Linked DNA regions of Drosophila melanogaster. The protein of the gene in region 3 interacts with the protein of the main gene of each other region in a pairwise test. Each region holds a gene or a part of one and is shown on either strand. Other genes may lie near its edges.

Region 1 (5,634 bases), on a different chromosome or scaffold from region 3:
ATGCGGATCTTAACGCGTCGCTAGCTCGGGCGGTACTGAGGCCCACGATCCGCACTTGCCACCAGCGATCCCGATCCCCACCAGTGCGATCCGATCCCATCCGATGGCAACTTGCCGGAGACCTGTTCGCACGAGAGCATCTCTCGCTCGGTTTTGGTTTTTAGAGCTTGCAAAGCTTTTCGCTCTCCGCAACTAATGCCGATTGATCGAACAATAGAGGTTAGGAGGTTAGGGTATCTGATAACCCATGCTAAATTCTCCTCAACAAATCAACGTCCTTTAAATGTCTCTTTAAATGTCCATGTTTCCGAAATTCACTCTCAAACTTATCATAACCAATTAATTTTCAAATGAAGTTCAGTTCAAAATGATCATATTTTTAGTAAGAATATTCCTGTACTCAAACATGTTTTAAACTATCTGAAGGTACTATCAGCACACGTATCTAAATGAGATACATGACACTTCTTTTTGCTGGCTTGGTACTTGACAATTACTTTCCTGATAACCCGCTCCCAAGTTTGAACTGCGAAACAAAGCTTAACGATTAAAATTCACTTAAACCTCCAACAATTTGACTTTCAAAACGCGTGCTGATTTCATAAGCATGCGACTGTAAACTAAAATCAGCAAGCAAATTTAAAATTTACACCAGCTGAGTTTTTAGCCTCAAAGCGCAGGTGCACTAACTAAACAAAAATAAATGTGACTTCTACAACTTATTTAGTGGGTTAAATAAGTCGATTAAATTCTCAACACACAACTGTTCAAAATGTATGCGATTCCGAAGATGCTCCACTTTTTGCCAAACTGTGAGCTGTAATTTAATAACAAAGTTGACTGGAAAAAGCTCATTCAGATGCCCCGCATTCCAATTACTCGATACAAAAGATTCAAGTGTTTTCATTTTATTCACTCGTATTGCAGTAGAGACGTCCAAGATTATAATGATCAGTGAATCTGTAGTTGATAAGCTTTTTTATAAAAAACAAAGACCGATCATGCCGGTTACAACTGAATGTAGCAGCCGTTACGTTAATATTAAGATACTTAAGGTAGACAATAGCAGATGGTCAGGCAATGGAGACCTAGTCCTTGGCGGGCACCTCAATGACGCGGGGCTTGTCGATGATGCGTGCGGTCTTATTGCCCTTCTCAACGATGCCGATGATCCAGGCCTGGTAGCCCTCCTGCTTCTCGATGTCCTTGCAATAAGCAGCGGCCTGCTCTCGCGGCAGGCAGATCAGTAATCCTCCCGAGGTCTCCGCCGAGTGGCCCTGCAGCAGCTGGAACATGTTGCCGCAGGCTTTGGCCACTGCAGCCATCTTGGCGATCACCGGCAGATTGTGGATAACAAAGGAGACATCCTTTTTCTGATGTGCAGCCAGGGTTTGAGCGTGGCCTAGTAGTCCGAATCCAGTAATATCGGTGGCTCCGTGGGCATTGTACTTGTGCATGAGGCGAGCGGCTACGCGGTTGAGGCGAGCCATAGAGTTCATCGCCCGGTGGTAGGCCTTGCGTACATCTTCTTCGGACACCACCAGCTTAATGCGGTTCCAGCGCTCCGGCTGGTCAATCCACTGGTGGGCATTCACGGCCACTTGGGTGCCCAGTGGCTTGGTTAGCACCAGTACATCCCCTACCACGGCATTATCTGGCACAATATACTCATTTGGCTGGCAAATGGTCGAGGCAACCCCACCAATGGTGCACCACGGATTGACCACGCTCTGGCCTCCAGTCACAGTGGTGCCTGCCTCCAAAGCGGAGTCCTTAAAGCCTCGCATTATCAGCGGAATGACCACGTCACGCTCCTTCTCTGTCATCTTGGTACTGACCGCCAACAGCATCAGCATGTTATCGCAATCTGTGACTCCCATGGCATACAAATCGCTGAGCACATTGGCGCACGCAATTTTGCCCATCATGTAGGGATCATCGACAATGGGGTAAAAGAAATCGGTGGTCTGCACCAGGCAGAGTCCGCCGTGTCGCAGCGGAATGACGGAGCAGTCCAGGCCAATACCGATGCGGGGAATGGCCACGTTGAGAAACTGCGGTTCCTGGTCCTGGGCAGAGTAGTCCTGCTGCAGGGCGGACACCAGCTTGGAGAGCACATCCTGCGGCACTTTGCAGCCGCGCCCCTTTAGATCTGCGAAGCGTGTAAGGCGGAAGGATGCATCCAAATCATGGGCCGTGGGATCGAATGGACGACGCAACTCGGCGTCGCCACCACCATGGAGCTCCAAATGGGCCGAGTTCAGCACATCAGCGGCGTAGCTCATCTTGCTTTATAGCTGTGGATGGGGGAGATGCAAAGAACAGAATGTAAGTAGCGGCTTTAACCGATTAACGCACTTTTGCCGCGCAATAAACACATAGTGGGCTACTCTATGCAGCGAGTAACTCGCGTTCTCCCCGGCCACCAATACCACAGCGCTCAGACGTGTATGTACACGGATTTTCTGCCGCGTGTGTGTAGCGCGGCCCGTGATTGGCTGCAGTCGCGATGGCGGCTAAAACGGGCGAAGTCAGTATTTCTCCCTGTCGACGAGGCGAGCAACGTGAACAATGCCCACTCATTTCAATTGCAAAATGCCAAAAAGTGCGCGCTTTGAATTGGCCATTTGGTTCGTTGCGTTCGTTTGTCTTTTGGTACTTACGTTTGCTTGTGCGATTGTACAAAGATAATTGTAGAGTAACGTTAGCAAATTATATTTATTTTGCGCCTGGTTTTTGCTTTTCCAACGAGCGAGATGTCACAACAGGGTTGTATTAGCGTGTGCGGCTGATTCGATATTTGGGATGCCGATTGTCTGAAGCGATGGTTCAACGGGGCTGCCAACTCGCCCGAAATCTATCGATTGTATTGTGCGCCAAGGGTAAAATAAATAAAAATATGTTAAAACCGCGGAATAAATGGGGGAACCGAAGTGGAAACTGTGGTTCACAGTGCTCTGACTTTCGGGAGCAGTTAATATAGTTGGCATTAATTCAATTAGAGCTCCAAAGTGCTGGTCACAAAGAGCGCACAAGAGCGGCCCATGAAAACCTGTTGCGCCAGCAGAGCGAAAAGTAAAAGTAGAAGAAACCATTTACCTTTGTTCGTTGATAAGACAAGTTAACTTTACTCCACATCCCAAAAAAAAACCCACCTCATTCAAGCGGAACATCGTTAAACAAAGAACTATAAGTTTCAGGAAATCGAAGCCCACACAAAAGACTTGAGCAGCGAACTTGGTTTTGGGCCATGGGATAAACTAAATTAAAACGGTGACGAAATCATTAAAACATGATTCAGCTACGCCTGCGCACTCTCGTTTTGCTGCACTTCATTGCCCTAGCCAGTTCGGAATATGTGTATGGCGAACCCGAATTCAAGTGTCCAAAAAAGTGAGTTATTCCAAATATTGTATATTACATATTTCTTCACTTATATGGTGTTTTTTTTTCAAATCAGATCAAAGGCCTTGTACCCCTGCGAATGTGTGAAGGGCAGCGATAATGGCCTCTACATTCGGTGCGAAAATACAAACTTGGCTACCTTATCCGTAGCCCTTCAGAATTTGGCCTCTTTTGGTATGCCCATCGAGGAGTTGACCATCTACAGAGGACATTTCGGTGTGTACTTCTACACGTCCTTTTAGTCTGTTAAGCTGAAGAATCAAATTCTCTTTCTAGTTCGTCTATATGGGCCACTATTTGCTCATATCAAAGCACGAATGCTGATCATAGAAGAAACACCATTGGCCACCATTGAGGATTATGTTTTCTATGGAGTAAATAATACTTTGGAGCAACTGCATTTACTTCGCACAAATCTAAGCCACGTTGGTTTACTAGGATTCGGCGTAAGAATTAAACAATATACCGATACCATCGTTATCTAAACGGGAAATTCTTTTTTCAGATTCTAGGAAAAGCTAAGGAACTCGTAATCGATGGCCATGCGTTCCAACAGCTACCCAAGGATCTATTTGCTGGCCAAGAGATCGCCAATAGTCTGGGAATCATACGTGTGACCAATGGTAACCTAAGTGATCTGCCTATTGAGACTTTCCAGCCATTGCGGAAACTAAAAACGCTCGACTTGCATGGAAATCAATTGGAGAATCTGAAACGAAACCAATTTAAGAATCTAAGAGAGTTGGAGGTCTTGGATATAAGTCACAACCAGATCAAAAAGCTGGAGGCACAGCACATAGCTGATCTGACAAAGCTGGGATGGTGCAACGTTTCTCATAATGCCCTAAGCGAACTTAGTCGCGGAACTTTTGCCAGAAACTCTGTGTTGAAGGTGCTCCATTTGTCCCACAACCAGATTGCACGCCTAGATGCGAATAGTTTTAGGGGTATGCGTTTCCTCCGTCGTCTTTTCCTCAGCGATAATGTGCTCACGGATATTGGTCGTGGTACTTTCGGCTCAATTGCCCGCATTGGAACTATTGATCTTGCACGCAACCGTCTTAAGAAGATCGAGTTCCAGATGTTTACCCAGATGAACTATGTGGAGGTACAATTGCTAATATAAAATTTGAAAAATTTAACTAATTGCTGCTTTTCAGTTGCTCGATTTGGCGGAGAACAACATAACCAAGATTGAAAAGAACTCTTTCAAGGATATTTACCAGGCTATCATAAACGTATCGCATAACGCTTTGGAACTCATTGAAACAGCTGCATTTGAAAATTGTGTAAACATCACGGTTCTTGACTTGTCTCACAATCGGTTGGCCAACTTTTCGCGTCGCAGCTTCGATGAGACCACTTTCGCGACCTATTTTCAGCTGAGCTACAACAATCTTACCAATTTGGCACAGATTCCCATTCAAAATATGACTGGCTTGAAAGTCTTGAATGCCTCGTACAATAGCATTACCGAAATACCCAAAAATTGTTTTCCAAAGCTCTATGAACTGCACACCATCGATGTCTCGCACAATAACATCTCCAGTATATTTAATGGAGTTTTTCAAACCCTATTCTCGCTACGCTCAATTGATCTTAGCCATAATAGCATGAGGGAAATCAAGTCGTCGACATTTGGCACTTTGCCAACCCTCTTGGAAATGGATCTGAGTCATAACGAACTGGTATCCGTAGTGCGAGGATCGCTGGCCAAGTTGACCAGTTTGCGACAGCTGTATTTAAATAATAATCAATTGGAAAAACTTTTCCAGTTGCCTATTTCCCTAAATGAGCTGTACTTCAGCCATAACAGGCTGACTAATATACCATCGGGCACCTGGCCAGTGATGAACTCACTGATCTACTTGGACCTAAGCCATAATCAGCTGGGAGACACTCTAAACGGGGAGAGTTTTACAGGTCTGTTGGTGGTGCAACGACTGAAGCTGCAAAACAATGGCATCAGTCAGCCACCAAAGGATGCGGTGGCTGTCATGTCAACACTGCAGTACTTACATTTGGAGGTGAGCAAATGCTATGAGAATTCTAACCTCCAAACTCATCCAACTTTTTATTTAGAACAACAATATTACGACCTTAGAACGAAGTGCCTTTGGTAAGCTGCCCGTCTTGTTTGAGTTAAATCTGTATGGTAACCAAGTTAAGGATATAAGGTAAGATTTATCTAAAATCTGTACATTTTTTATTTATAATATGACTAATAAC
Region 2 (6,441 bases), 1.1 Mb from region 3:
GGAGACTTTCCTTACTGCTTCGCCCCAGCAAAACCTGATCAGCACTGTGCAGCAGCAGCCTCAGCAAATCGTGTACCAGCAGCAACCGCAGCAAGCCCTTCAGACCCAGTTCGTCCAGCGCCCCGCTATCGTTACCAAGGACATTTACATCCACTCCGCCCCCGAGGAGAATGAGGAACTGCGGCAGGACGAGCCACTTCTGGAGAATGTGCCCATCCGCAAGAACTACCGGATCGTCTTCATTAAAGCGCCTTCCCAGAATCTGAAATATACCGCCGCGGCCCTGAAGCGGGCCCAGTCAAGCAACGAGGAAAAGACCGTCATCTACGTGCTCTCTAAAAAGCCCGATCTCACTGAGATCCAGCAGCAGCTGCAGGTTACCCAGTCTGAGGCCAAGGTTCAAAAGCCGGAGGTCTACTTCATTAAGTACAAGACCCAGGAAGAGGCCCAGCGCGCCCAGCAGGAAATCCAGGCCCAGTACGACGCCTTGGGAGGTGCAACCCACATTTCGGACGAGGGAGTGGCTCCCATCGCCAGCGTTTCGAGTGGCTCCCTTAACCTGGGCAGCTTTGTGCCCCAGCACTCCCAAGCTGGCCAAACCATCATCCACTCTCAGGCGCCAACCATTATCCAGCCACAGGGTCAGCCCATTGTTCAGCTGCAGTCTATTAACCAGGGGGTCCAGGGGGTCCAGCAGCAGAGCTCCTTTGTGCAGAAGTCCACCTCCTCATTCGCTCCCTCGGCGCCATCAAGGAAGTATGTGCCGGCAAAGACTTTTTAAAAAGTTGTAGTAAGAATCCTATCGCTTTCATTGTTTTATATCAACCATCATACTGTAGTAAATTTTAATTTATTTTTAATGCAAAAGTCGAAAGTCGAAAGAAATATAAAAAAATTTAAATCGAAACCCAAAAAGCCTTCTGTTTCTAGTACTCGTTTTTAAGTTTAATCCTTTTAATATTTTAGATAGGTTTTGTTTTAGGATTTGGAATTAATCTTTCATTTAAGGCATAGCTTGAGTTTAATGTTTCTTATGAAAACGCTGTTTATTTTTATCACAAAAATGTTTCAATGGGCTAAGAGACTATGACAATGACTTCTTTCTCGCAAGAAAGTTTGGACCATCTCTTTTGGCATTAAGCCAACAGCCATAATAATCAAGTTTTCGTGTGGCTTAATCGTTGTTATGTAAGTCAAATCACATGCTAATTTATGCGACCGGTTTTCGGCTTGGATGGCTGTCATTGGACTAATGGATGTGGTAACATGGTCCATAGAAAACTATTTTGTTACTTTGAAGTATTGAAACTCGATTTCATATTTGAATATGGCTGCAGAGTCGCTTTCTATCATAAGGCGGAGCTCAAAATATGAACTTTATTTAACTAAATGTGTAAATTACAAGAGTTCAAGTCTTAAAATTACGACAGTGGCCTTGGAGTTGTACCTAAGCACGCAGATTAGTTGGCAAGTAGCTGTTTGGCAAGGAGCCAGAAAACTGTCCGGATGAAATTCCGTTGTTGCGCTGGTTGTCCAGTACGCCAATCACGGATGTAACGGGTGCAACTCCCTCGTCAGAAACCTGTGATGTTCCGCCAAGCTGGTCATATTGAGCTAAAAGAAGTAAATCGGTTAAAAATCGGGTAATAAAAATTTGGACAAGCCAGATTAATTGGTCGATAGACATTTCTATGAAGCTTGCAAATCGAAACATTTGAGGTCTGTTGCATACTGATGAGGTCTTCAAGTGTGTCTCATAGCATCTGCTCGATGCGGGTGTTGCTCACCTTGAATGGTACGTTGCGCATGCGCAGCTTCCTCCTGGGTCTTGTATTTGATGAAAAATACCTCTGGCTTGCTGGGCTGCTTCGGCGCGATTTCCTCGATGGCAGTCTGGAGATCTAGTGGGTCCGGCTTCTTGGTCAGCACATAGATGATGGTCTTCTCCTCCACAGGAGCCTGTTTGATGCGCAACGCCGCCTTCGAGACACTGGTCGTCGGTGCCTTGATGAAAACTATGCGATAATGCTTGCGCGGAGGCGCGGGCGGAAGGACGGGCTGAGGGTAGCGGTCCTCGGGCTCTTCTGCTGGTGGCACATGGACGTAGATGTCCTTGGAGACGAGGTGCTGCTGCTGAGGCTGATGTGCCTGGGGCAGCGCATTGTACGCCGAATTTGGGCCGAACTGCGTCGCCTGCTGTTGGTAAGCGGAGGCCTGGTTTTGATTTGAGTAAGATGCGAGCCCTTCTCCTCCGGTCAGGACCTGCTGCAACTTTGGAGCCTGGAGTGCCTGCTGAAGGATCGTCTGCTCCGCAAGGGTGGCAAACTGCGGAATAGAAGGCAGATGGAGTTGACCAGCTTGCGCCGACGATTGAAGCTGTTGCTGGGCTTGGTAGTTGTATCCTTGAGGAATGCCGGCTGCAAGTCCTAGGAGGCACGGCACCTATAAAACTAAGTCATTACTATTGGTGCTTGGACACCTCGGCTGACACTAGAGGGCTTACAATGAAGAAATGCATTTCCGATTGAGTTGAAGACACCGGTCCCTTGGCAATCAAAATTCAACTAAATGCTAATCACTAGCCGCCCAGACTTTTATGTCGCTGACTCGATAATGTCGGTACGAAAAAGTTGTGTCCGCAACGCAAAGTTTAAATGAAACTGAAACCACAAACGCTCAAGCCGCACGAAAACTCGCTTGCGTTTTCATACAACCTTGAGGTAACGGTAACTTTTTGGGAACTCACCCAAAACCCTAAAGCTCTCGAGCTTCAACTTAGGGCCAAGTCGAAAGCGTCGTCTAGTTGGAAGTCTTGTGCGATGGACACATACAAATGTGGAGATTAGTTTGGCACATCCATTTCTCTAGCTTTTGAGGTGATCATGATGGTGGATATTTGTTGCTGTTGATGGCCGATCATAATTGACGAACCTTTGCAACGCAAAATCTCGAATCGCAACTTGCATTGATCACACAATAGTCTCATTTAAAATGGCGTCTACCTGGAAAACTTTCGCTTTTTCACTATGTCTTAATGAATTTCAGAAATTGCTTTGGTTTCCGATGACCCAATTATTAAATTGTAATTGGTACATAGTTGCACAATTTGATCTATAACATAATATGTATTTTCTGTATTATATTTTCAGCATTTAGCTGACGAAAAAAGGCAAGTCCTAATGCTTAAATCAATGTCCGTCATAGCATGGGTCATAATTGGGGGCCCTGTTGGGCCAGGTAAGTGGTGCTGACGATTTGATATATGACTGGAGATTTATCAAAACACAAATGGCAGTGCGGGCCAAGATGAAGCACAATCGCTTCAAATTACCGTGTGGCGTGCGTTTCTTCCCCGATCCGTTACGAGTACGCAAATACTGCGGCATCACACTTATGATCGACTTATTATGCAAGCCACCCGTTCACACGAGCTGTGGCGCCCCCGCAATCAGCAAATTGTGGGCATCGGCAACTCCTGGTGCTTTTCTCCGACCTAATCTTGCAGACAAAAGATAAGAGCGTCTTGGCCCACGGAGTTACGCAATGGTATCTACACTGAGTCCGCGGCTTTTTGGCGCACTCTTTGGATACGCCGCAGAAATGTACTTCGTTTACAGCTCTTCCCTGTTCAAATTTCAAACTTCATTAATTTTTATTTCATGGCGTTTCGTGTGTCGGCTATTTGCATGGCCAAGGCTTATGGCGCCTACATTAGGATTGAATTAAATAATTAAAATATAGAAATACCAAAAACAATCAATAATAAGTGGGCACAGGTCATCCGCAGAAAATGATTGCTGATTGCTTAATGTTGGACATCCAGTCGAGTGATTTTCTTTAAGCCCAGGTAAAATAACATTGAATAATTTTGCACACTTATATTATTGATTATAAATTTGAATTCCTTTTCAAGCGCACGATCTGACTGGTTTTGTGTTATTAGATTGAAAATATGTTGAAATATATATGTAAGTACAAACTGCAAATCCAAAAGCTCATATTAAACTCGGCAAAGTTTTTTCTGGGAGTTGGTTTAGACATCGAATGAAATAGCTTTCTTTGACAAAAGCTTTGGAGATTTCTAACTGACAGCAGCGAAGTCCCGGGGCAAATATTGGACATTATTTGGTCTTTTTAAAATGAAATATAAACAGCAAATAGTAAATACTACGACAGTGACGTCGTATAGTACGTGTAATCTTTTGAGTTTGTGGCTAATAACGAGCCTTGAGTTGAAAATAGTATTGTATCAATACAATACACCTTGACCAAATAAATACAGCATCTGAAATTTGTACATCCGGCAAGCAATTATCGAAGTTACGGTTTTTTTTTTGCTTATTTAAAGCAAAGTACTGGGGCATTTCCCCTTATCTGCTAGAAAATATCGATTTAATTTACTGTAAGATGGTAGTATGCTTCTAATATATGGTGTTAAACGATTTCGAAACTGTGTGTCCAGAGAAATGTTTCGGATTGGGTCCCCTCTTCAGATGAACTAAATTCTATTTAATAGGTAAGTAATTTTTATATGGAACGTACATAAAAACGGAACGCATTTTCTGAATTCAATCCTACTTCATCAAATTCCTCACAATGTCTACAGGAAAAGGAAAGACGTAGGACCGGGTGTCATCATTGCAGATGGAGTTCAGTGTTTGCAAGTACCGTAGCTGCAGGGCTATGGGGTTGGTCTCCATTATGTCGGCAGCCTCCTTCAGAGCAGTTACCGCATCTCGCTCCCCCTGCGCCGCGGCCACCTTGGCCTTGGCCTCACGCATCGCCTCCTGTTCCACAGCCAGGGCGCGCTTCAGTTGATCAGGCATGAAGATCTCCTTGCTGCCGAATATATCATAACGCATTATTGATCCATTGTAAGACAAAAAGTACTTACATCTCGACCCGTTCCACGCGTATGCCCCAGGGCTCTGTGGAGTTGTACAATATACCCTCTATTTGGTTGGAGAGGTACTCCTTGGACGAGAGCAAATCCATTAGCTTGTGGGTGCCGGCCACGTTACGCAGCGTGGTCATTGCTAGCTTCTCGGTCGCCTCCTCCGGATCGTATACTTGCAGCATGGCGTCGAATGGGCTCTTGATGCTGTAGTACACCACTCCGTCGATGCTGATCGTCACCATGTCACGAGTGAGGATTTCCTGTCTATGTAGGTCAAATGACCTGGTACGTATGTCCACAACAGCGAGGTCATCAATGCAGGGCACGAGAAAGATGACGCCTGGCCCCCTCGGGGGCTTAGGGCGCAGGCGACCCAGGCGCAGGATTACCGCTCGCTCGTACTCCGACATTACCCTGAGACAGCAGAATAGGGACCACGGCAGGCAAAGGACTATCAGAATCATGGACAGCACAAACAACGTTTTCTCCGCACAAGTTGGTGGAACATTCTCACCTATGAAATCGCAAATTGCTGTAGTCCCTCGGAATATCTTAGCTTTTATTGGGGGATTTACTTGTTTTTACATTACGCTGAGGTAACAGTGATTCATCGTGGAACACGTTTACCGAGGAGCTCTGAGCAAGCAAAGCAGGGGTCGTCGGATTATTGTCCATTACATTAGATTTAGAAGATCGTGTAAGGTGACAGTGTATTCAACTACGACTATAGATAACAAAAACTCAAATACAGTTTTGATAAAAGCATTATGGGTAGTTTATGTGTGAAAAGAATCCGTTTGGGTTTTAATGGGAAGCGGAGGCTTATATGTTATATATATATATGCTTATATGCTTATATATGTCGACTATCAGATACCTGTTACTTAAGTGTTTTTTCTTTACTTTGTTGGCTTGTGCTTATCTGCAGAAAAGAAATTATACATAAATCAGAAAAAAGAAATTGTTGACTTGCGAGCATTTATTGGTTTGTTGGTTAGAGTAAAAATTTTTAAATAAATAAAATTAAAACTTTTTTAAAAATAACCAAAATATTATTCGTATATCAAAAGTAGGCAGCTTGTGGACGTTGAAGTGGGCGTTGCCCTTTTCTTGAATTAAGTACACACTGCACCTACAATCTATCGGCCTAATTTCAACGTTCTTATTTATATTATACCGAAGATAATTACATTTTAGTTATGTTATATTTTTTAGGTATTCATTTATGAGCAATTTACGTACCTACACTGAACCCGAGTAGATTGGATCTTACACTGTGCAAAATGTGCACTTCTCTTCTAAAGGAACATGCTGCCCTAATCAATAATGTATTTCCCAGAATTTGTTAGATTGAATACACTAACTCACTCGTCTAAAATTTTCGCAAGAGCCCGCTGTGTTCAGCGGGCAAACTACAAAGCTCTTGCACCAGACCGACTCCGAAATCGATTTTGGCTTCAGTGAAGACTGAACATGAAACGATCATTAGGGTACCTCGAAAACTGAGGGTCTGCGGTGCCAGACCAGCCGCTTCAGTTTATTAC
Region 3 (4,815 bases):
ATCCCTGGCACTCCACGCCATCGACCAGCAGCAAGGAGTTGTCGCTAAAGTCCTCTCGCATTTCGGCAGCTTGTTGCTTCCTGGCATGGGAGGACTGGATACGTCGCAGCTCACGCTCATCCACGCCCAAGCTCTCCAGCCAGTCCTCGTCGTCGTCTTCATCTTCCTGTGCCGGCGGAGGAGCATCTTCGCCCGCTTCTGGACCTAGCGAGGTGGTAGTGCTCTCCTCGTTAAAACTGTTGTCGTGCGCGTTTCCACTGTTATCGCTCTTAAGAGGCATGCTGAACTCGATCCCCTCCTGTCGCAGAGCTTGCCGCATTCCCCGAGTCGACGGCGTGACCAAGGCGTGGCTCTCCGGCCGACCGCCAACTCCGGCAGCTCGGAACAGCACCGTAAAAGTGTTGGCACACAGGTAGAAGTACGGGCACTGGCGGGCACGCAGCAGCTGAAATAGGCCCCGGAAGCTGAAGTCCCACTCCTCGGCCAGGGCCTTGCGCTCCCGCTCACCCACCACCACGCCCACGTTCTCCTTGGCGGTGCGCGGGTAGAGCGTCAGCCAGGGCAGGTGCGGGTGCTGCCAGTAGTAATTGCATTGGTTGAACCGCGTTGCGTCCGAGATATCCAGCGTGCTCTCCGTTCGCTGCGGGTCCATGCAGCGCACGAAGCTGGTGAGTCCGCTGGCCAGCTGCGAGGTCTTCAGTTGGATGGCAGGCAGTTCCGTGGGACAGAAGAAACGGGCTCGCGTCTTCAGGGACCAGTCCACAGGTAGGTGGGCGGTGTGCTTCTGCCGGGCGGCCAACTCCGCATCGTCCTCGTCCTCAGCGTTGATTTGGGGATGCTGGAAGAGCTTGGCAAAGGCCTGCGGGTCGTACTTCTGGAGCACGAATTTGGCGGGCGCCGGGCGCGTGGGCGTTTCCCGCACAAAGCAGGAGGAGGCAGTGACCACTGGTTCGAGGTCCGCCAGTTGCGGATCAACGCGCAGTTTCTTGGCATCAGCTGTGGATCTGAGGCAGGGAGTCAGTAATTGGATTTTGGGGAGAGCGAGAGAGAGGGAAACTCACTTCGCAAACGGATTTTTTCGCTTCTGGGCGAGCTTAGCCTCCAGTAGCTTGCTTTTATCCGTCTCATCCACTTGGTGTCTTGGCCGCCTATTGTTGTTGTTGCTCACGCGGGCTGCCAATTTGTTCTTCTTCTGCTTGAGCCGCTGCAGTTTGATGAACTGGAAAACGAAACAACAACATTAGTGGCGGGCAGGTGCTCCTCCGAGTCCTTACCCACGTCATCTGGGCGCGTCCATTTGGAAGCCACACTCGCTTCGGTGGACATGTTCAATGTCTTGGTTCGCGCACAGGACCTTCACGGATTATTTAAGTACTTTGTGAACTGCAAATATCTTCAAAACGTTTGCAAATATCACAAAAAATTATGGCGCGCAACTAGGGGTGTGAAATCTTTCGATTGATTAGCTCGTTATTCGCTATTTTCGCCCATGTTCAATTCCCAAAAATATCGTTAGTCGGCAAATAAAACGAATCTCACAATTTAACTAATTATTTATTATAATAGATGGAGTAGTTTACAAAACGAAACTAACTTAAATTGTATATCACTGGCTGCAGGGGCTATGTTGGTTAACAATGGCATTGTTGGGCATCGAATTTGATTTTTTAATTTTAATGGTTCTTTTTGGATTTACAAGCTTCTAACCTAAATTAAACAAGCGCATGTTGTATCGTTTTAACTATTAATAAAATCAAATGAATAAAAAATCTTTTTGCGCTATAAAAATGTATCTGACTATCGGATTCACCGATAACAAATCGATTAAGCACTGTCGTTTTTCCAACTGTTTTATGATCTGGTAACACTTTCCGTCGCTGCGTTTTATGCTAAAAGTAAACACATTAACTTGATAAACAATGAACCTCGCCGACGTTTGCCGTATTTGCGCCAACAAAATTATGGGCCACCAGCGAGATCGCAACATATTCATTCACATGCGGGGAAAATATTTGGGTCAACTGAAGCTAATCACGGGAGTGGAGGTAGGTCGTTATGTCAGCTTCCGACCGCGCCAACAATTGTTATTACCTGGAATTTGTTCAGCTGACAAGAAACCAGGGGCTGCCGGAGATTGTTTGCGAGCGCTGCTTCTCCGAGCTGGACCTGGCCACCAAGTTCCGCGAGCGGTGCATCTTCTCGCAAAAGTACCTGCTGGATATCATAAAGAAGACCAGTGATCAAAGCACTGTTCACGTTGAGCTTAGTTCCGAGCCGCTGGACGAGCAACTGATCGATGCGGATCAATTGGAGACGCACTACGATGACGACCAGTACGTTTGTTATCAAGGCACGAAAGAGGAACACCAAGACCTAGAGGAAATCGAGCTGGATGACGACCCCTCTGCCGCTGTGATAGCGGCAGCAGAGGCGGCAGCAGAAGCGGCGCAGCAGGAGGATCTACAGGAGCAGGAAATGGAGCGGGCCGCCAAGAGGCGCAGTAACTTCTTTATCTGCGACGAGTGTGGAACCCTGTTCCACGATGCGTTCCTGTACACCGAGCATTTAAATGGGCACCAGAACCGGCGGGATATGAACCAGTTCTTCCCCTGCCCTGAGTGCCCACAGACTTTTAACAAGAAGGCGCTTCTCAAGCAGCATCGCACCCAGGTTCATTTAATTAACCGCAGGTTCCAGTGCACCATCTGCCACGAGGCTTTCGCGTCTCTGGGCGCTAAGTTGCGGCACGACAAGTAAGGAGGCTGGGAATTGAATGCTAGCGCAGCACTATATGCAACTTCCAATTTCATTTTAGAGCCCATAAGAACGAACGACCTTATCCATGCCTAGAATGCGGAATGATCTTCAGCAGCGTTTCCGAATTGCAGAACCACTTTTCGACACACTCAAAGCAAATCCGAAAGTTCAGGTAAGCTTGTCAGCTTGCGCAGTCATATGTCTTAATATCGTATTTTTTGCGTTTAGGTGTGAGCCTTGCAACATGGATTTTATAACTCGCCGAGGCTTGGTGGCCCATACAAAAACAGCACCGCATAAGCGCCTTGCCAAATATATGCAGGATGAATTCGATTTCATCGAATTGGCAACCTAACCCTCAATTATTACCACCTTCTTTCTAAGTAAATGCTAAGGTCAAAAAAATAAATCATAATTGAGTAGTTCAGTTTACTACTTCGCTACCATAATATTCGACAATGGAGTATCGGTTCAATGTTATTTTTTTATAAGTGTATTTTTAATTTATTGAAAATAAAATTCCTTCAGTTTTACTTTCAAGTCATTTTTTATAGTTCATACTTTTAAATTAAGGAGGGAATGGAAATTTATAGCGTATTACCGTGTAACATAAACCTCTAGTCATACAATTCAAGAAAATAAAGTTTTCTTAGCGACTAAGTTTTCTTATTTTCTTCCAGCATTTTATACTAATAAAGCTTAAAGAGGCCTGAAAACCTCAGCTCCAGCAGTTTGGCGCTAATCTAATTCTCGGCCCCCCACAGGACTGCTTCAACATAAAAGAGCTTTCGAGTACGGCGCATGCGTCCTTTCAGCTGTGGCTGCCATAAGGCAGCTTCGATTGGATCTGCGTATATTTCGCAAATTCAACTGGTAGCCGCCGCACGAAGCACAGAGCCCTACGTCACGTTAGTATATACACGGAATCGGAGCAGCTGCCGCCGAAAAATCAATACCTTACCAAACTTCGACGTGGACGGTTGAAACCGCTTGGAATCGCAATATGTTGTTCCGTTCGCAAAGTAAGTCTGCTGAAGTAATATTTATAGGTGGGTGAGGTAAGAGAATAGCCCATGTTTTTCCAGGTGTGTACATGATGGTGGCGATGCTCGTGGTCGCCTTGAGTGGCTACCAGGTGCAGTCCTATAGCGCCAAGGATATTCTTGCCGATGTCTTGATGACGGATCTGCTGAATCGCATGGACAAAGACATGCAGGTGGGCTATTACGACGTGGGCAACGAGGCAGCCGCTGGCTCCAAGGACAACGTGGACCTGGTCTCCCGGTCGGAGTACGCGAGGCTGTGTGACGGCGGAAGCGACTGCATCCTGCAATCGGGCTCGGCATCGGGAGCTGCCTCCCATCCTTCGCTGCGGGATGACGAGTTTCTGCAGCACAGTTCGCTGTGGGGTCACCAGTTCATCTCCGGCGGAATGGGAGAGGGTCCCAACAGGTATCCCACTATAGTGAAGAACGACGCCGGCCTGCCTGCCTACTGCAACCCTCCTAATCCCTGCCCTGAGGGCTACGACATGGAGACGCAAGGCGGCAGCTGCATTGTCGACTTCGAAAACACGGCCATCTTCAGCCGGGAGTTCCAGGCCGCTCAGGACTGTACCTGCGACAACGAGCATATGTTCGACTGCTCGGAACAGGATAGTGCTGATGTGGGCGGCGACAAGGGTGACCTGAACTCCGCCGTGGAGCAGTACATCATGCAGATGGGCCAGGAGAACAGCCTGAACAACGTTAACAGCCTGGCTAAGAAGGCCGGATATCCTGTGATGCCCGATCCTCGGCTGGACGACGCGGTCATAAACCCGTTCCTCCAGGGCGACCGCTTGCCCATAGCCGCCAAGAAGGGCAACCTTTTATTCCACTAAGGTAACTCGCTGATAACGCGAGCATACACGACGTTTCCATATGGGTGTCTAATACTATTATCTATCATAGCTGGTTATCAATGTTGTCCCGCAAGCGATGTCTAGTAATGTTTCTACCCTTTCCCGAAAATAAAGTTATTCGTATAGTACCAGGGCTCTAAGCCGAAAATATGCGG
Region 4 (4,495 bases), on a different chromosome or scaffold from region 3:
TCGGTGGCGTTATCTTCTCGCTGGGTTCAACCAGTTTTACTGATATGATATTGATCGTGTACGCTCTACATATGTACATACAGGGTGCTTTTACCTCTTCTTAGCCAGCTGCATTATGACATTAATTAATGTCTAATAAGATAAGATACGAAAATTAAGTTGAATCGACAAAAGACCACAAGCGATTGTCGTAAACGTCCATCGAAGCACATCGCTTTTCCACGAAAGATGTGGAGGTCTGGTCGACAATTGGTATGCCCTCTTTTATGAATGGGCAGATGTGTCACTTGGAAGAGTAGAGAATGACCTGGTCTTACCTAGTGAATGGATTCATTCAGACATTGTTCTTTAAAGATGTATAAGATACGATCTCTTAAAGAAGTTACGATTCATTTTCACCTTTTAAATTACAAATATTGACGGCATTCTACTATTATCTGTAGTATCCTGGCTGAGAAACTGCTGATCCACCTTAATAAAGCGGTAATTGGCCATGTGGCAATATGCCCCATTCAATCAATTGTATGGCACAAGTACAATTATAGCAAAAATCCCCACTAGTCATAAAGTTCGACTGGCGAGGAACCAAGAACACGGAGCCAGCACTTCCACTCCATTCCATTTCTTTCGACGGAGGAGTGAGCTTGAGTGAGCTCGTGTTGGGATCACCATTACATCGCACCTCGGATTTGCTCAGGTTCGGTAAAGTGCCAAGTAAGGGCTTTTCGTGGAAGCCCCAATCCCAAACTCCAAACTCTTATTCGACGTGAGTACGAGCAAAAAGTCTGTTTTGAAGCGGCCAAAACAGTAGGAAAGGCAAAAACGAAACAAAACGAAACGCTTTTGGGCAGCTCTTTCAGCAGATTTTTTCTTTTTTTTTTGCAATTGGCAGTAAATCGCGTTCAAGATCGGCCTCAGCTGTTGACGCTTTTTATGGCTCGCAGTGAGCTAAGAAAACAGCGGGCCCCAGTGATTGTTTAATACTTAATGGTTATCCGAGACCGAGACCCAGGCACTTGGCATGCGTCACAATGGCGGCGTGATCTCCTCGAGATCTCCTCGTGCCCAGAAGACTCGTCCCTAAAAGCGGGTGACTCAGCAACCGAGCGTCCAGATTCTCTTATATACATATGTATTTGCAACCGGCTCGATAAGTTTGCCCAGTTTGAATTTGAATTTCCAGTCTTTGCGGGTGCGAGAAATGACGATGATGACGATCGTTTGAACGAATTCGATCATCTTTACTCTCGGTCAGCGGCCTCAACTGGGTTCTTTATAATCTAACGATCCATTCAGTTGGATGATCTGGCAAAGCTATTATCAGGGTTTAAGTAATCGTCAATCTCGAGTGGATTAATAGAAACACCTTCTGCCTTTCTCCTTTCTGCAATTCTGTTTCTACTATTATGGGCTTTCAGTTGGACGATTTCTTTAAACATTTATCCAGTCAGAATCGATTAGATATTGAATAGGGCTATAAACTAGAACGCATGCGATGATAAGTAAGAACTACAATGCATCACGCGGTTACTCGGAATATACATGGTACACAATTTATTAAGTTTTAATCAATGATTGGATTAGAGTACTTCAAGCCCTGGCCATTTGGAGTAGGTGATAAAGTGGCACAACGTTAGCGTTGTTCCTGCCGTCGAGGAAGTTCTGGTGGGACAGCACGGCCCTGCCCTGGAAAACGCCAGGAATGGCGGCGGAAGTGAGTCCATCGGCACCGGGAAGTTGGTTATCGACCTCGCCAGCCGTCGAGGAGCGATAGAAGGGATAGTAGGGATAGCCAGAATAGCCGCCAAAGCCGGGATATCCAAAGCCCCCATATCCATAGCCGCCATATCCGCCGTAGTAGTTGTAGCCATTGTAGTAGGGATTGTAGTAGGGTCCCGGCGGAGGAGGAGGTCCTGGCGGCGGTGGTCCGGGCGGAGGGGGTGGCCCCCAAGGACGCTGCGGTGGCGGCGGATAAGCGGGCGGTCCTGGCGACCACTGCGGTGGATAGCCATACTGCCGTGGGTGCTGCTGATCCTCTGGTGGATAATAGTAATGGTGTTGTACTGACGGTTTCGGGGTGGTCGACGGGGCTCCCGAGGCCATCACCAGCTTGATGCCGCCCTTACCAATGGTCTTCAGCAGGTGCTCGTCAATCCCGCGTCCACTTCCCAGCGGATCGTCCAGCACCTGTTGCTGCTTTTCGGTCCTGGCCTGTCCGCTGACCAGGCTCGTCTGCAGTGGCGCCTTCTCCTGGAAACAGAGGCCGCTGACCAGCAGCTGCAGGATAACTGAAAAGGATGTGTCACTCTTTCTAGGCAGCCGATCGTCCGTACTCACCCAAACCAATCGCAGTCACTCTCCGATCCATGATCTCTCTCGGAATAACCTGACCACTCCAGTTGCATTGCCCTTTTATACGCGGTGCATCTGTGATGAGATGTGTGGGATCTCGTTCCCGGTTTCCTCATTAGAATAACCCATGCAGTGGCCCAAATTTGGGATGCCTTTCTTTCTTCTGTGTCCATCTCCATCTCCATCCCCAGCTCCAGCTCCAGCTCGAACTCGATCTCGATCTCGGATCGATCAAGCACCGTTCTAATAACTGCGCTCATTAATTTGCATATGATATAAATGCTTGTAGGGGCTTTGTGGGATCTTTCCACTTCTCATTCCACTTCCATGATCGTTCTGCCAGCCCTGCATTTTTCCAAATGAATTCGAAGAGTTCAATATCCCGCGATATTGCTGCTTGATATATGACGACATTTGAATGCAGATGAAGGTTGGTCATGCCACTGAACAAAAAAATATTCAGCAAAGCTCTTGAGTTGGCAACAAATTTTTTGGAAATATGTGCCCTTGAACTTATTGTATTATCGTTGAGTTTCCGTCTTTAGAACTTATCTTTACTTTTTACGAATGTATTTCTCCATCTCGCTACAAAGCAAATCAGCCTCTGCCTCTTGGTTTCCTATTCTTAATGCTCGACTATTTCTTTCGGTGTGCGATTAATGGGTTAGGAACTTTTTCGTTTGGGTGGGACTCATGGTTTTTGGGTTCCGTTATAGGTCGTGTGTCGTAGACATGTTTACGAGTCGTCTGATACAACAAAATGTGGAGTTCTCTGTTACATCACCCGTTGGAGTATTTCTGGATCGGGAAACCAGTTCCCCACTCTATTAGACCGCTGAATGGGGATTAAAGAAAGAGTGGATCAAGCCGACAAAAGCAACGCCCCCAGGGAACAGAAAGTCAATGACTTCATAGTAGGGAGAAACCGTGTTATTGCAGGGATATTGAGCAAAGTATAATTATAATGACTACACACTCATTAATATTTACAGTTTAATTCATTTTATATCCCCCAGCTAGTTTATCTAATCATGAAAGTATCTGTAGAGGCTTGCCCCGCCACCCAGTCAACTTTGGCAACTCTCTTATCATACAACATATACTCGTGTCAATTGGATCCCAAACAGTTCCATGAGATCTGCACTCACCTGCCCTCCAACTTGTGGATTCCTTAAATAGACGTAGCATAATCTTAGGCGATGGTTGGTTTGTCAAAAGTGCTAAAGTGATTGCAGAATGACTGCAAATGGCTGTGCCCATTGGGTGATGTATTCGTATATGGTTTTCGACATGATCGATATCCACTTCCATCTGCCCTACGTGCAATTAAACAATTATGTGACAAACATCGAATCACGGCGAGCTCGGCTCCAACGACTGGGACGTGTCTGCCGGTCTCTTCGAGAATTCCTGGGAAGTCTTCCCGGCAAACATTTCGCAATTAGTCAGGCATTCGTTCCAGTTCCACACAGCAAATCCCCTTCCAAGTGGCGCAGAGTGGATGGAAACACACAATAGTGGCGGTGGAGGCAATTGCAATCTAGTGTGTGTACTTACAATGTTTTCATTCGGCAATGACTTATTATTTAGCACACTGATAGCTGATAACACAGTGCTAATGTGAGCTGGAGCACTTTTCTGAGTCGGGGTTGTGAGTTTCGAGCTCTGACTCACTCAGAAATGTCCCGAAAGCGCGGCAGTCATCTAGAAATCTTGAAAGCATTAAGTTATAATTTACATTTTGGAGAAGCAAGTTTATGAAATTAGCTAATTGTGGAGCAAGAACTAAGTAAAGGAATTCCTTATGTACATTGAAATCAAATCCTTGATCTTCGCAATAATGGATACTAAGGACTACATAGAGTAAGCAGTGCTAAGATAAAGAAAGTGAATAGATTATAAATCATATAGAATAATTCTTGATTAGTTATCTAAAAACCAAGAAACTGGTTCGCGTAGCTAGGAGGAACCACATTATGAATCAACTGAAAACATTGGGTTGCTCGGAATGATGGGAGATGGGAACGCATATATCTTTAGGATTGACGCATGCGAAAAAGACGTATCGTGATCTCAGGTACTTGGAACTCCGGAATACAGCCGATCCGGAATTCTTTGGTGCGCTGCGTTTCTGTCATGGTCT

The links.
Region 1: the proteins of CG14667 (region 3) and Sps1 interact in a two-hybrid assay, tested with the Drosophila melanogaster proteins (one large-scale study listed by BioGRID).
Region 2: the proteins of CG14667 (region 3) and TwdlG interact in a two-hybrid assay, tested with the Drosophila melanogaster proteins (one large-scale study listed by BioGRID).
Region 4: the proteins of CG14667 (region 3) and CG9184 interact in a two-hybrid assay, tested with the Drosophila melanogaster proteins (one large-scale study listed by BioGRID).

Annotation. Positions count from the first base shown.
Region 1 is NT_033778.4:14,267,878-14,273,511, forward strand, and holds Sps1 (selenophosphate synthetase 1), read right to left. Parts: upstream 2,782-5,634; 5' UTR 2,286-2,781; coding exon 1,089-2,285; 3' UTR 895-1,088; downstream 1-894. Other genes in the region: conv (convoluted), read left to right, coding at 3,293-3,393, 3,461-3,621, 3,682-3,851, 3,911-4,513, 4,566-5,432, 5,488-5,582.
Region 2 is NT_033777.3:4,247,404-4,253,844, forward strand, and holds TwdlG (TweedleG), read right to left. Parts: upstream 3,939-6,441; 5' UTR 3,332-3,938; intron 3,112-3,331; 5' UTR 2,519-3,111; coding exon 2,504-2,518; intron 2,443-2,503; coding exon 1,788-2,442; intron 1,615-1,787; coding exon 1,448-1,614; 3' UTR 1,320-1,447; downstream 1-1,319. Other genes in the region: TwdlF (TweedleF), read left to right, coding at 1-781; CG14644 (uncharacterized protein), read right to left, coding at 4,575-4,839, 4,895-5,411, 5,473-5,572.
Region 3 is NT_033777.3:5,373,172-5,377,986, forward strand, and holds CG14667 (uncharacterized protein), read left to right. Parts: upstream 1-1,850; 5' UTR 1,851-1,919; coding exon 1,920-2,045; intron 2,046-2,106; coding exon 2,107-2,753; intron 2,754-2,815; coding exon 2,816-2,929; intron 2,930-2,985; coding exon 2,986-3,112; 3' UTR 3,113-3,289; downstream 3,290-4,815. Other genes in the region: hd (humpty dumpty), read right to left, coding at 1-1,004, 1,062-1,219, 1,279-1,326; 7B2, read left to right, coding at 3,761-3,779, 3,828-4,639.
Region 4 is NT_037436.4:1,320,415-1,324,909, forward strand, and holds CG9184 (uncharacterized protein), read right to left. Parts: upstream 2,393-4,495; 5' UTR 2,369-2,392; coding exon 2,338-2,368; intron 2,289-2,337; coding exon 1,591-2,288; 3' UTR 1,378-1,590; downstream 1-1,377. Other genes in the region: Myo61F (myosin 61F), read left to right, coding at 4,157-4,215.